3 linked regions of the Callithrix jacchus genome follow. The protein of the gene in region 1 binds, or shares a complex with, the protein of each later gene. Links are inferred from orthologs where the notes say so. Each region holds a gene or a part of one and is shown on either strand. Other genes may lie near its edges.

Evidence for each region.
Region 2: the proteins of MYO5A (region 1) and MLPH are in contact, whole or in part, in a crystal structure (PDB 4KP3), measured with the Mus musculus proteins. The link is inferred for Callithrix jacchus from reciprocal best matches to the Homo sapiens genes MYO5A and MLPH. Residues at the interface, in NP_034994.2 of Mus musculus: Asp1524, Val1527, Arg1528, Leu1531, Thr1532, Ile1535, Asn1536, Lys1539, Ser1570, Gly1571, Leu1588, Thr1589, Asn1590, Phe1591, Asp1592, Leu1593, Ala1594, Glu1595, Tyr1596, Val1599; in NP_443748.2 of Mus musculus: Lys184, Lys186, Arg187, Leu188, Leu189, Ser190, Phe191, Arg192, Asp195, Phe196, Glu197.
Region 3: the proteins of MYO5A (region 1) and SPIRE2 are in contact, whole or in part, in a crystal structure (PDB 5JCY), measured with the Homo sapiens proteins. The link is inferred for Callithrix jacchus from reciprocal best matches to the Homo sapiens genes MYO5A and SPIRE2. Residues at the interface, in NP_001369276.1 of Homo sapiens: Asp1551, Val1554, Arg1555, Thr1559, Ile1562, Asn1563, Lys1566, Ser1597, Gly1598, Leu1615, Thr1616, Asn1617, Phe1618, Asp1619, Leu1620, Ala1621, Glu1622, Tyr1623, Val1626, Asp1629, Leu1630, Gln1633; in NP_115827.1 of Homo sapiens: Arg404, Pro405, Arg406, Val407, Leu408, Leu409, Lys410, Ala411, Pro412, Thr413, Leu414, Met417, Glu418, Met420.

Annotation. Positions count from the first base shown.
Region 1 is NC_133509.1:40,062,659-40,068,032, reverse strand, and holds part of MYO5A (unconventional myosin-Va), read left to right. Parts: intron 1-1,977; coding exon 1,978-2,189; intron 2,190-3,070; coding exon 3,071-3,227; intron 3,228-5,374. UniProt on the Homo sapiens protein: Processive actin-based motor that can move in large steps approximating the 36-nm pseudo-repeat of the actin filament. Can hydrolyze ATP in the presence of actin, which is essential for its function as a motor protein. Involved in melanosome transport.
Region 2 is NC_133507.1:158,841,071-158,846,444, forward strand, and holds part of MLPH (melanophilin), read left to right. Parts: intron 1-2,320; coding exon 2,321-2,506; intron 2,507-2,768; coding exon 2,769-2,924; intron 2,925-4,541; coding exon 4,542-4,634; intron 4,635-5,374. UniProt on the Homo sapiens protein: Rab effector protein involved in melanosome transport. Serves as link between melanosome-bound RAB27A and the motor protein MYO5A.
Region 3 is NC_133521.1:47,503,107-47,507,393, forward strand, and holds the end of SPIRE2 (protein spire homolog 2), read left to right. Parts: intron 1-109; coding exon 110-137; intron 138-1,294; coding exon 1,295-1,410; intron 1,411-1,734; coding exon 1,735-1,957; 3' UTR 1,958-2,965; downstream 2,966-4,287. UniProt on the Homo sapiens protein: Acts as an actin nucleation factor, remains associated with the slow-growing pointed end of the new filament.

The DNA.
Region 1 (5,374 bases):
GGAGGGATTTTATGAAAGAGGTATGTTTTGATTCAGGCCCTGAGGATGGGTAAAACTACGTAAAATGGAAGGAAAATAATATAAGAGGGAGCAAGAAGCGGTAAGTGTAGGATTTGCTCATAAAACAGTTTTTTGAAGTGTGAGATTTGTGTATGTGACAATAGCCAAATGGTTAGGAAATGTAGGTTGGTGTTACAGAGTTTTTCAGTCCAGGCTAAAGAGTTCTCAGACTTTACTGTGACCTGGAATGCTTGTTAAAATACAGATTGCTAGGTTAAAATACAGACTCATTAGGTCTGAGGTGAGCCCAAGAATTGTTTCCTGGGTGATGCCAATGCTGTCTGAGGACTACATTTTGAGAACTATTGATCTTAGTCTTAAAGAATTAAAGATTAATGAAAAATTTTTAAAAAGTATTTTCACTTGTTAACACTAGCCTAGATGGATTACCTCACTTTGAGCTAATTGATCATAATTACTAGCTGAGGACTGCTTGTAATGCCCCTTTTTTGTTAATAATATTTTTTCCTTGAAAGAACTAAGGCTACTTTCTCAGTAATATTTTTTAAAAACTGGGCCTTTTCAAGGTTGGCCCAATTCCCTTCTAACCTGGCTTCAGGTGGGAATGTAGAGCAGAAATAGGAACAGGCCTATGCCTGGTCCCCTCACTCAGGCCACTTCAGGCCTAATCAAGGCTTTGCAGGGAATTTAGGCAGAGGCTGAAAGATGGAAGCAGGGTTGGTGTGAAGTGGCTCAGGGGTAAGGACCACTTTTCTAGCTAGGGTTCCTATGTAAATTTTATTGATTAAAATTGAAATAATTTTAGATTTTTTTAGATATACATGGATGTTTTTGATTTTGGGGTATCATGTATGAGATATAATGAGATACATACTTATAGGGAAAAATGATTTTCTCTGTTTTCACTTAGAATTTCAGATCACATGGCTGGGCGTGGTGGCTTATGCCTGTAATCCTAGCACTTTGGGAGGCTTGGGCAGATTGCTTGAGGCCCAGAGTTTGAGCTATGCTGGCTAGTGCTGGCCATGCTGGCCAATATGGTGAAACCCTGTCTCCACTAAAAATACAAAAATTAGCTGGACATGGTGGTCTGTGCCTGTAATCCCAGCTACTCAGGAAGCTGAAGCAGGAGAATCGCTTGAATCCAGAAGGCGGAGGCTACAGTGAGCCAAGATCACGCCACTGCACTCCAGCCTGGGAAGCAGAGTGAGACTCCATCTCAAAAAAAAAAAAAAAAAAAGAATTTCAGATCACAGTAATGATTTTTATACATAAATTCCATTCTTTGGGGTGCAGGAATGGTTAATGATTTGCATTCTTCTAGATAAGGTGAATCACAGTGTAATATAAATAATTATATTTCTGTAAAAGGAGTTTGAAATTTGTAGGATTTTAAACATATTTATGGAGTCTTGTTACTTTGTTTTCAAATATTATTGATAAAGCCAAGGGATAACTGTTTAGAAATGTACTCAATATGAATACTCAAGGATTTTTGTTTTTGTTTTTTTTTATTTCATATGCATTTCTTCCTGCCTTATTCTTCACACTGGTGTTTTTGTCCCTTCAGCTTTCTCATGGAATATACAGCCTGATGTAATCCTTACAGCCTGGGTCAGTCAGAGAGAGTCAGCATCTCCATTTCCTTGAGATGTTTAAAACACAAACAAGCAAATAATAGCTGCCTATAACCCACAACCAAGTTTTGGGCCTCAGATAATAATTCCAGGTAGAATAATTCTGGAAAATAACTCTTAAACTGCAGTTTTTCTTGAAATCCCTTCTGTTTGCTCAACTTGCAAAGGGTTAAAAATCTGGTTTCATTAGTTAATTGTGACATAGCCCAAGTTTTAGCTGATAGATAATTCCTTTACTGATTCTGCTTTTAGATATTTTTTCTTTTAAATTTCATTTTATGATTATTATTTCTGAATATACAATTTCTTCCAAAAATAGGACAAGGACAAATACCAGTTTGGTAAGACAAAGATCTTTTTCCGTGCTGGTCAAGTGGCCTATCTAGAAAAACTGAGAGCAGACAAACTGAGGGCTGCCTGCATCCGGATCCAGAAGACCATCCGAGGGTGGCTGCTGAGGAAGAAGTACCTACGCATGCGGAAGGCGGCCATTGCTGTGCAGAGATATGTGAGGGGCTACCAGGCCCGATGGTAGGTCTCATGGTGACATATTAGGGTGCCCATATAATTCACTGTCCAACCAAGGACAGTTTTAAGTGGTCACCATACCTGAAAAGATAACACCTCACCTTTTCTTAGTTCCAAGGAACAACAAATTAACTCATAGCACAACTAAATAGAATGAAATTCACTCAGCCTTATGAATTATTCGGATTTATCTTCCAAGCATTTACAAACTGCTGCCTACTTAATGTCCTAAAAATTTTTATTTTTGATACTTTTATATTGAGCTTGAGGAGATCGTATATTAATTAAGATAGTCATGAATATGAGCTGGTTAATAATGACTGCACTGAAGAATTTGGGGGAGCAATTAACTGAGATGATCTTGAAGAGAAGTACACTTTAGTGTGATTACATATTAGGTTGATTTTAATTGAGAAGTATAAGTAGAAATGAATTAATGAACTTATATGCTAGTAGATTCAGGAAAAATATGGTACGTTAGTAATGGCTAGATTCAAGAAAGCTGGTGATAACTAAGTGTGAGGTTACTGTGTATGTCCATCTGTTATATAAAGAGGACATAGTAATGGATCCTAATGCAGAAAGAATGAACTTTTTTGAATTTCACTTTCTTGTAAAATCTGGCTATGTGGGCCATCCTGCTTTTCAGGGTAAGGGAGGGCTCAAATGAGATAATAAATGAAAAAAAAACTTTGGGAAACTATAAATTGCTATACAAATGTAAGTAAATATAAATGTTGACTTAGCATGCACATTATTAGAATAATACAATGGAGGTACTACTTTTAATGCCTAAAACAGTGACACTCTTTACATTTCTATAACATGTATTCCTGTGTTTTTTTTCTGATGAGTGACAACACACTGTTATTTTCTTTGGCCAGCTATGCTAAGTTTCTGCGCAGAACCAAGGCAGCAACTATCATTCAAAAGTACTGGCGTATGTATGTGGTCCACAGGAGGTATAAGATTAGACGAGCTGCCACTATCGTTCTTCAGTCTTATTTGCGAGGCTACTTGGCCAGAAATAGGTATCGCAAGGTGAGGCATTATTTTCAACTTTGTTTTTTCATTCTATTAATATTAAACAAATTCCACTTCTATATAGAGCACCACAAGGGCTACAATAAACATAGGAACTGTATGGAGACAACCAGCAATTGAAATGTGTATTTATTTATTAAAAAATATTTTTTTTTTTAGAAACAGGATCTTGCTCTGTCATCCTGGCTGGGGTGTAGTGGTGCAGTCATAGCTCAACTGCAGCCTCAAACTCCTGGCCTCAAACAGTCCTCCCACCATGGCCTCCCAGAGTGCTGAAATTACAGGTGTGAGCCACCGTGCACATGCCCAGCCTGAAATGTATTTTAAAATACTAAATAATCACATATATTTATTAACAAAACAATAGGGAAAAAACATATACTTCTTTTTTCTCTTTGTTTATATAATTTGAAAAAAAAGTATTTTAGTTTCCTTTGGCTGCTATAATAAATTATCATAAACTTGGTACCTTAAACCAACTAAAATTTATTCTCTCAGAGTTCTGGAGACCGAAAGTCCAAAATCATTATCACTGGGGCAAAATCAAGTTGTTAGCAGGCTGCTGTCCCTCCAGAAGCTCCAGGAAAGAATCCATTCCTCCCTCTTGCAGCTTCTGGTTGCTGCCAGCATGCCTGTGCTTGTGGCCACATCAGTCCAGTCTCTGTCTCTGTCTTTACAGCATTTTCTCCTCTGTGTATCTGACTTCTCTTCTCCTATCTGCCTCTTATAAGAATAATTCGGATAGCATTTAGGTTGTACCATGTAATCCAGGATAATCCTCTCATCTGAAGATCCTTAACCTAATCATGTCTACAAAGGCACTTTTTCTGAATAAGTTAACATTTGCAGGTTCCAGGAATTAGCACCCAAATTCCTTGGGGCCCATTGTTTAGATGACTACAGGGAACTTTGAATAGGTAGAATATATGACAGACAGGTTGAAGATTATTCCAAGAATGAGACAACCTTGAGAGAAGTTTCCATGGTCAAGAGGAGACAAAGTATAACATTAATGCAGTTAAAATTGTATTGACAGGTATGATGCACCAAAAGTTTTTGACAAATAATCTTTTATCTAGCAATAATTAACAAGGTCACCAGAGTAATTTTAATTATCACCTGTGACCATTGAACAATTTTTATCTCTCATTTTGGCAAGGTTTGGAGTCTGTCCTATAGGGTATATTTCAAATAAGTGAGAAATAGAAGCCTGGATATTAGAGCTCTGTGGACATCACCATTAGAAGGAGCATTAATGGGGTGATTTGGGTCTCTAATCACAGGAAGTATATGGGTGTGACCTAGGCTCTATTTATTTTTTATTTATTTTGCTTTTTTATTTGAAGTGATTTTAGACAACAAAAAACTTGAAACCGTTGAGGCTTGAATGAGTGTATTTAATAGCTGTGTTTTGAAGATAGCTACTCCACATCTGTCTTTCTGCTCACCTCTCTTTTATGAGGTCTCATACTCTTTCTATATAAGCATGAGATTTTAGAGAAGGAAGAGGTTTGAAGTTGGCTTTTCAGATACACCAAACTAGTTAAATCTTCCTGTGTTCCTCAGTACTCTCCTTAGAAACATCTGAGTTGGGTTTTGAGCCATTGGTTTAGCAGTAGCAGTCTCTGGCCAGCTCAGGCTTCCACTGTGACTGGACCGGGTGGAGGTGGCAACGTAGAGGCTTGCTCACATGTAAGCCAACAGCATCACATTACTGCTCCTTCTAGCTGTATTTCAGGTCCAAGGTTCCCCTTCATGAGATGTGGCGGAGTCTTAAAGAGAGTACAGATGTTGATCAATTTCTCTCACTCATGATGAAGTGGGATTAAAAATGGAAGCTTGATTATATGCTGTTTCCATTTGACTAAAATTTCAAAAATGGACCAATATCCAAAGTTATGTGGGGGAAGCAAATGGAACAGGAAAATTGGCATTAATAGCTTTGCTACTGTGTCCTGCTTGAGTTTTAAACTCTGAAAGTCTTTAATTTGCCACCACTGAGGCTCATCCAGTTGCTCCTTAGTCATCTGGATAAGACAAAGGCCTCTCTCCAGACTGTGACGTTCAGTGAATGTTCAGAACTCTCAACCTCAGTGCAGGGTGATTCAGTGGCTACACTGAAGGAAAACCGAAGGCTGCCTTAG
Region 2 (5,374 bases), on another chromosome or scaffold:
GTGTAAGTGTCAGGCAGCAGCCCGTACTGTCAGCGTCCCTGTCACACGTGTAAGAACCAGCAGCAGCCCGTACTGTCAGCGTCCCTGTCACACGTGTAAGTGTCAGGCAGCAGCCCATACTGTCAGCGTCCCTGTCACACGTGTAAGTGTCAGGCAGCAGCCCGTACTGTCAGCGTCCCTGTCACACGTGTAAGAACCGGCAGCAGCCCGTACTGGCAGCGTCCCTGTTGCACGTGTAAGTGTCAGGCAGCAGCCCGTACTGTCAGCGTCCCTGTCGCACGTGTAAGTGTCAGGCAGCAGCCCGTACTGGCAGCGTCCCTGTCGCACGTGTAAGTGTCAGGCAGCAGCCCATACTGTCAGCGTCCCTGTCACACGTGTAAGAACCGGCAGCAGCCCGTACTGGCAGCGTCCCTGTCACACGTGTAAGTGTCAGGCAGCAGCCCATACTGTCAGCGTCCCTGTCACACGTGTAAGAACCGGCAGCAGCCCGTACTGTCAGCGTCCCTGTCACACGTGTAAGTGTCAGGCAGCAGCCCGTACTGTCAGCGTCCCTGTCGCACGTGTAAGAACCGGCAGCAGCCCATACTGTCAGCGTCCCTGTCACACGTGTAAGAACTGGCAGCAGCCCATACTGTCAGCGTCCCTGTCGCACGTGTAAGAACCGGCAGCAGCCCATACTGTCAGCGTCCCTGTCGCACCTGTAAGTGTCAGGCATCAGTGTCCTTTTAAGGTACAGAGAAAGCCCATCTGCCTGGTGCTCAGCTCACCCCTGTAGCTTTCCTCCACAGATGAAATCCCCACCACCACCAAAAAAGACAGCTTTTCAAGGCAATCCTGTCTGCAGCTTCTCTGAATAAACACCCGGAAATATGTCCCAGAAGTCCATTCTGGGGTGGCATATTTTGGTTTCCTTCACAACCCAACAATTGGAACACAGGTCAGGAGGTGGAGGAAGGTAGAGAAGAATCAATCGAGGCAGAAGGTCCCTGGGGCGAGGCTGCCATTTCAAATGAGATGCCCCCACTGAGCGTGAGATTTGCCCGAAGAGCTGGCAGAGGTGCCAGAACTGCCGTGTGGCTGTCTAGGATGGAGTGTGGCAGCCCTTCTACAGTCCCAAGGAGGGAGCACCTGCAGGAGACAGCGTGGCCAGGATGGGTGAGACAGAGGCAGGCCTGGGAGCAGAGAGGCCGGAGCTGGGCCTCGTGCCGGCGTCAGACAAGATGGAGCCTCCCAGGCTCTGCCTTTACTATGGAGTTGGGGAGGCTTGAGCAGAAGACAGCTGGCTGAGGGCACGGGGTTGCTCTGGCTGTCCTGAGAACAGGCTGTGGAGTGGGAGTGAGGCAGCAGGGCCGGCTGGGAGAAGGTGGTGGTAGGACCGGGTAGAGTAACAAAGTGAAATGAGACAGGCATGTCCGGGGAGCCTCGCAAAGGCAGAGCCCACAGGAATGGCTCTTTGGGATGAGAGGAAAAGGCGAGTCAGGATGTCTGCAAGGCTCTTGGCCTGAGCTTTAAAGAGTTGAGCTGCCTCCACCAAAAAGAGCGAGACGCCTTAGCACTGTTATGGCTGTAAGAGGCAATTGGGATGATTTTGTGTTTTTATCACTTAATTCTGTTGCCCTCTCAGAGCTGGCACATCAAACCCTTCCTGAAAGGCTGGCGTCCACAACAGACAAAGCCTACCCTTAGCCTCCCTTCCTCCCGCACACAGACAAGGCGGCCAGTGGAAGGAGACCCTTTCTCACTCACAGCCCAGCGCTGCTTTTATGTGATTGGGAGCCATGTGACACAGAGAACTGACCAGCAGCAGCTGCTAAGTCAGTCCTTGGCCAGACTGTGGGAAGGTACAGCTCCTGGTACTGGACCATCCAAAGCCAGCTGTGCATTTCCCTGAGAGACAGTGGGCAAAGAGCCATGACTCCATGCCCCTCTCCCCATCCATAGAGTAAGGACATGACTCCACAATCCTCTCCCCATCCATAGAGTAAGGACATGACTCCATGCCCCTCTCCCCATCCACAGAGTAAGGACATCCACCTGGAATACACAAGAGGCACCCTTAGATGTAAGGGATGAGAGGATCTTAGCTAGAGGTGGTGGGCATCTTTCCCTAGGAAGCCCCGTCCTGCAGAGTCTGCTTCTGGAGTCTGGGACTGGGCCCCAGAGGGGCACAGTGGACAAGCTTGCATGGAGAAGGGAGGCAGCCCGAGCTCAGCAGGAACCCCAGGGGTGCTGGGCCCAGGCCCACCTCCCAGAGCCAACCCTTGAGCTCCACGGCTCCAGATGATGAGCCGAATACAAACTCACTGGCTTGTTCTGTCAGGGTGTAGGTGCTGGAGTGCACACGGAGGCTGATGTGGAGGAGGAGACCCTGAGGAGGAAGCTGGAGGAGCTGACCAGCAACGTCAGTGATGAGGGGCCCTCGTCTGAGGAAGAGGAGACCAAGGACGAAAAGGCAGAGCCCGACAGGGGCACCTCAGTTGGGACCCTCCCCCATGCAGACTCAGAGGTAAGACCACCCCCAGGGGTCTCAGCAGGACCCTGCAGGGGGGCAAGAAAGGACAGTTCCAGGTAGCCACCACCCTCCCCAGAGAGGCAGCCACTGCATGGGGACACCAAGAGCCCTTGAGGGGGTCCATGGTGGGTGGCCAGCTCCTGGCCGACCAGTTCCCAGGGTTCAGAGAGGAGAGAAATGTCAGGGCAAGTCCCCGTCTGGGTGAGACCCACACTCCCTCCTGGAGCTGGTCAGCCTCCGTCCTTCTCTTTCCTAGGTGGGCACAGCTGCCCATCAAACCAACAGACAGGAAAAGAGCCGCCAGGGCCCTGAGGACCCCGTCCAGCACAACAGGACCACAGATGAGGCGCTGTCGGAGCTGGAGGACAGAGTGGCAGTGACAGTCTCAGAAGTCCAGCAGGCAGAGAGCGAGGTAGCCCCGAAGGCACAGGGGAGCACGTGCAGGGTTCCACAAACACAGATGGTGACCGTGGCTGGGTGTTGACCGTCTGACTGACAGCTCACACCAAGCCCTCCCCACTGGCCCAGGATGCACGCCTCTGAAGGCCGAGCATGCACCTGAGGTTCCTGTGGGGCTCACCTGGCTTGCCACCCCCTGAGCCCTCCACCCCTTCCCTTTTTCCAACTTGGTGAGGGACAGGCAGGGTTACTACCAAGAAAAAAGTACTGACCACTCACAATCCCTGACCTGTAAGCAGGCCTGGAATTTAGGGCAGCCCCAGACTCAGGACTGGACTCTGTCCCCAGGGCCATCTGTGAGTCCCAGTGTGGCTGCAGAGCTTGCATCTGGGTGAGGAACATATCAATCGTGCACAAAGGTCAAAGGGCAAAGCCAACACATTGAGGCCTCCCAGGGACAGCCGATGTGACTTGTGCATGCTCTGTCCTCCCCAGAGACCTACAGAGAGGAGAGGGTCTGCCCCTCAGACTGTGGGGACAGCCAGCCCCCTGGCCCTCCTCTGCTTCCCTTCTCATGAGCAGGCACCTGTCACCCCCTGAGGAAGAAGGGCACATACCCCAGGGCTGTTCCCGTTGAGGGGGCAAGTCAGGCTCCGGAATCCCCTCATTTCTTCCTTCTCGCTTGGGCTCTGGACTCCCCTTGTTTCTTCCTTCTCGCTCGGGCTCTGGACTTTCCCTTCATTTCTTCCTCCTCGCTCTGCAAATCAGCTTCAAATGCCTGAAATGCAGCCACGTTGTGTAGGTCACGGAAGATACAGCTGCAAATGCCTTAGACCAAGCCCCCGCCTTCCTGAAGCTTCTGTTTTTAGTAGGAGGAGGTAAATAGCAAACCAGATCCTTTGGGTTCTCGTAAAGTGCATGAAGACCATCAGTAAAGGTACCCCTAGGGCGCTCGGGGCAGGGCGATTCAGATAAGGTGGTCAGGAGGGATGCCAGGGAAATGAACCAGCCCGGCAAATCCAGGAGGCAGGAGCCTGGGTGGAGGGAGCAGCGTGTGCCAGGGCCCTGGGGTGGCAGTGAGTTTGGCACGCGCAGGGATCAGTCATGAAACCCTGAGACTGGGTCAGAGTGATGAGAGGGAGACTGTGAGGAGGATGGGCTGGAAGGATCTGAGTAGGGTGATGGGGCCTGGTTTCTGTTTCCAGAAGCTGCCCCTGGCTGCTGTGGGAGGGGTGGCCTCAGGGGCAAGGAGCGGAAGGGGAGCTGGGCAAGGATGATGTCAGTAGGGGTGGCTGAGTGCTAGGTGAAGAGTAGCCACCACCGTCCTCCCCAGTCATGGCCCCTCCTCCAGCTCTTTATGAGAACCAGACTCCCTATGACTCCAGAAAATGCACCCCCTCCTGCCTGGGGTGGCACACAAGAAAGGTACCCCCCTTCTCAATAACCATGGAAGATAAATGCCAAGGGGACCACCAAGATGGGCATGGGGCTGGGACGCCAATCTTGAGGGAAAACACAAGTAAAATTGGCTCCAGGAGTGAGCTGGGGGCAGCTGCTCTTTCTGTCCATGACTTTGAGGTGGGACCTCGAGCATCTGTCTGATGGGCCGCCTGTCTACTGTCCTCTCCAGGTTTCAGACATCGAATCCAGGATTGCAGCCCTGAGGGCTGCGGGGCTCACAGTGAAGCCCTCGGGAAAGCCCCGGAGGAGGTCAAACCTCCCGGTGAGTGGGGGCACAATGGTGAGTGGGGGGGCACAGTGTTGAGCAGGGGCGCAGTGGTGATCGGGGGCACAGTGAGTGGGGGTACAGTGAGTGGAGGTGCAGTGGTGAGGGGGGCATAGTGGTGAGTGGGGGTGCAGTGGTGAGTGGGGGTACAGTGGTCAGTTGGGGGTGCAGTGGTCAGTGGGGGGGTGCAGTGGTGATTGGGGGCTGCAGAGGTGAGTGGGGGTGCAGTGAGTGGGGTTACAGTGGTGAGTTGAGGCACAGTGGTGAGTGGGGGGTGTAGTGGTGAGTGGGGGCACAGTGGTGAGCGGGGGCACAGTGAGTGGGCACAGTGGTAAGTGGGGGTGCAGTGGTGAGTGGGGGTGAAGTGGTGAGTGGGGTTACAGTGGTCAGTGGAGGGTGCAGTGGTGAGTGAGGGTGTAGTGGTCAGTTGGGGGTGCAGTGGTCAGTGGGGGGTGCAGTGGTGATTGGGGGCTGCAGAGGTGAGTGGGGGTGCAGTGAGTGGGGTTACAGTGGTGAGTTGAGGCACAGTGGTGAGTGGGGGGTGTAGTGGTGAGTGGGGGCACAGTGGTGAGTGGGGGCATAGTGAGTGGGCACAGTGGTAAGTGGGGGTGCAGTGGTGAGTGGGGGTGAAGTGGTGAGTGGGGGTAGAGTGGTAAGTTCGAGGAGACATAGCATCCCAGGTAAGTTGGTGCCCCCCGAGGCCTCCCCACAGCACGCCTGCCACCATGGGCCGGACA
Region 3 (4,287 bases), on another chromosome or scaffold:
CAAGGATGGTTTGAAGCGGGATGTGTGGAGGCTGGGATGCCACTGTTTCTCAGCTGCTTCTGTGTAGGCTTCCTCCCTGCTGACGATGCATTTCCCCTTTCCCTTCCAGAGCTGTCTGCACTTCCTGTAGCATAAAGGTGAGGAGTGTGTGGGATCTCTGGGGTCTGAACGAGGTAGGTGGCAGGCCCCACTGCCTTTGATTGGATGTGTTGGATGGTCCTGCTCGCCGGGCACCTCATCCATTTCCTCTCAGGCAGAATCCATTCTTATACTTTCCAAGACAGTGTGCAGTTTTTAAAGACCCTTACAGGTTTTTGTCTGTAAACACTCCATGTTAGTAGCCTGGTGCCAAAAGAAACCCTTCGCTTCCCGTCTCAAAGGCCCATCTTCTGACATTCTGTAACTTTGGGTGTTTTAGGAGGGGTTCCTTATTGCAGCTGTGTGTGTGCTTATGCCTGTTACCCCAGCACTTTGGGAGGCCATGGCTGGCAGACCGCTTGAGACCAGCCTGGCCAACATGGTGAACCCCCATCTCTATTAAAAATACAAAAAAATTAGCTGGGCATGGTGGAACACACCTGTAATCCCAGCTACTCAGGAGGCTGAGGTACGAGAATCACTCGAACCCGGGAGACAGAGGCCGTGGTGAGCTATGATGATGCCACTGCACTCCAGCGTGGGTGACATATCGAAACTCTGTCTCATAAATACATACATACATAGATACAACTATGTCAGCAGCCAGGCAAGGTGGCTCATGCCTGCAGTTCCAGCACTTGGGAGGCTGAGGGAAGAGGATCTCTTGAGCCCAGAAGTTCAAGGCTACAGTGAGCTATGGTGCTGCTGCACTCCATCTGGGCAGCAGAGCAAGATCTTGTGTCTTCAAAAAAAAAAAAAAAAAAGTTTCTCTTTATGCCTCAGTTCAGAAGCAAGACTCTGCTTCAGGGGCACCTTTCCCACCACTGTTTTAAAACCCTTACTCTATATCCTGGTACTTGGCAATGGGAAAACTTCCACCGCATCTGCGTTAAATGTTGATTATGTGTAGGGCACGGTGGTAGGTCCCATATGGTATAAAAAGGTCCAGTTTTTGCCCTCCAAGAAGGCCCTGTCCAGATGAGCAGAGAGCGTGAATGGTCATGTGTGGGTCTTCAGACAAATGGCACAGAGACATCGGAAATTCTCTAGGTGGTGCTGCTGGCTGCCACGCAGGTACCACAGGGTTCTCCGGCACTGAGTGTGACTTGAATGTCCCTGTGGAGTGCCTGGTCCATACCTCCTCCCTCTGCTGCAGATGAAGATGCCTTCTAAGAAGTTTGCACACATCCCTGTCTACACGCTGGGCTTTGAGAGTCCTCAGAGGGCATCGGCTGCCAAAACCACGCCAGTCCAGAGAAGAGACGTCTTCCAGTGCGTTCTTTGCCTTGCTGCTGATGTCGCTGTGGTGGTGGGGCATGAACAGTAACCCGGGAGCTGGGGTGGAGGGGGCCAAGGCAGGTCTCTGGGAGGCTGAGTGGTAGGAAATGGACTTGAGTGGTCAGGGAGCAGTGTTTGCTGAGATGAACACTGCTAGCTGTGTCACTTACACAAAACCCCATGGGTGTCTGAGGGCCAAGGGGAGGCCTAGGGCAAAAGGCAGCCAGGAGGGGGCTCTGGGATACAGGGTCAGGGACAGGGGTGGGCTCTTGCACCCTGGCCGGCTGCTTTCCCTGACTGCCCTCTCCTGCTCCCTAGATCTCTGCAAGGACCACAGTGGCAGAGCGTGGAGGAGGCATTCCCCCACATCTACTCCCACGGCTGTGTCCTCAAGGACGTCTGCAGTGAGTGCAGCAGCTTTGTGGCCGACGTGGTGCGCTCCAGCCGTAAGAGCGTGGACGTCCTCAACACTACGCCACGACGAAGTCGCCAGACCCAGTCCCTCTACATCCCTAACACCAGGACTCTTGACTTCAAGTGACAGGAAGCACCAGGCAGGCCCTGTTCCAGGCCAGGACGCGCTGAGCTGTGCATGTACATATATACATATATAGATAGATTTATAATATATACACCCGGCCTATATATTTATAGACGTCGTTGCCTCGCCCCAGAGCTCATTTGGGTTCAGGCGCACTTCAGAACTCTCCCTCGGGGAGGCTGTTTCTTCTCAGGATTCCTTGCCAGGGAGGAAGGTGGGGGAACAGGGAGTGGGTTTTCTCACTGAGGAGAGAGAGCAGAGGGTTCTAGATCCTGGCACAGACTGCATCCCATGTTCCCATTCTCTTCTCTGTCCCCAGCAATGAGGATAGCAGCTTCCCCTCCCTGGTGGATGTCTAGGTGGGGATTGGGTGTCTTGGCTCCCAGCTGGACCAGAGTGCCCTGCTCGCCTCTGCTATCCCTTCGTGGAGACTTGGGCAGCACCTGGGAAGTGTCTGAGTGAGCGAGGTTCTCCTGGGAGGCACCCCCGCCTCTGTTTGAAAGGTCTGGCCAGGCATGGTGGCTCACACCTGTAATCCCAGCACTTTGGGAGGCCGAGGAGGGAAGATCGCCTGAGGTCAGAAGTTCAAGAGCAGCCTGGCCAACATGAGTCAACCTTGCCTCTGCTAAAAATACAAAAATTAGCCGGGCGTGGTGGTGCACACCTATAATCCTAGCTACTCAGGAGGCTGAGACAGAAGAATCACTTGAACCTCGAAGGCAGAGGTTGCAGTGAGCCATGATCACACCACTACACTCCAGCCTGGGTGATAGAGTAAGACTCTGTCTCAAAAAAAAAAAAGGTCCATGCCAAGCTTCTCTCTGCCCTTGCCTGGGGTCCACACCCCAGCTGTCCTGCCCCTTTGCCCTACCACATTCTGGTGCTGTCCTCACTCGCCTCCGGCTCAGAGGCTACTGAAGGTGCTGGGAAGTCCCAGTCCAGGGAGGAGGAGCTCTGTCAATCTGTGCACATGGCCAGGCTTGGCCTAATAAAGGAAGTCTCACGTTCTGTCTGGATGTGCACTGAGGGTGCGCCCAGCATGGCAGTGGGCATATTCTCCCAAGATTGAAGCTCAGCTTGAGGGGCCACCTGCCCTCCAGGACCAGGAAAGGCCTCCCTGGCTTAGCACAGTTGCATGCCCACCCGGCAAGGGTCCCAGGCCTGCTCTGTCCCTGCAGCCCTGGCTGGCTCTACCAGCTTCCGTGGTCCTGGCCACCTTGGTTAGGGGTGCAGGCAGACAGCACAGACCACATCCCATCACCTCCCTTGGCCACATCTGCTGGCCTGGGGGACAGTTTAGTCTCACTTCCCAGATCCCTATTCTTGTTCTCCAGGGAGAGGAATCACAGGGGCTGGAGGTATGACAGGCTCTGGACAGGCCCTGTGCCCAGTGCTGTCTGCCCACCAGTGCCTGGCTCAGCCTGGTACAGCGCCCTGCCCTGTTCCTCTGTGAGGCTCTGCTTTCATTTCACCTTACACATGAGGAAACTGAGGCTCAACCAGGTAAAATAATTTGGCCAAAAAAACAGCTCACCCAGGAACTTTGGCCCCAAGCTGTAATGCCAGCCATGGGGCTTGGAGGTTAGGAAGGGATCTGACTTGTAACAGATTGGCCTGTGGGAGAAACACTCCTATCAGCTGGGGCCCAGGAAATCCACACACACAGTTAGAGCCCCCAATAAAATCAGCCAGCTTCGGCTGTGTGTGTGTGTGTGTATTTCTTTTTGAGACAGAATTTTTTTTTTTTTTTTCCAGAGTTTGGGTCTTGTTGCCCAGTCTGGAATGCAATGGCGTGATCTCTGCTCACAGCAACCTCTGCCTCCTGCTGGCCCTGTATTTTTATTCCTGTTTAAAACTAAGAAAACAGTCATGCACGGTGGCTCACGCCTGTAGTCTTAGCACTTTGGGAGGCTGAGGTGGACGGATCACGACGACATGAGCTCGAGACCAGCCTGATCAACATGGTGAAACCCTGTCTCTACTAAAAATGAGCCAGGTGTGGTGGCACATGCCTGTAATCCCAGCTACTCGGGGACTGAGGGAGGAGAATTGCTTGAACCCAGGAGGCAGAGGTTGTAGCAAGCCAAGATTGTGCCACTGTACTCCAGCCTGGGTGACAGAGTGAGACTCCATCTCAAAAAAATAATAAAAAATAAAACAGGCACAAAGAGGGTCAGGAATTTCCCCTGGTCACATAGCCAGCAGTAAGAAAGCTAATGTGTAGCACTCAGGACAACTGTGGTTCTCCTGGTTCCACAGGGGCTTACACTCCCTATCATGGGAAGACTGGGTTGTCATCCATACAGGAACACTTGGAAATGAAAGCCCCC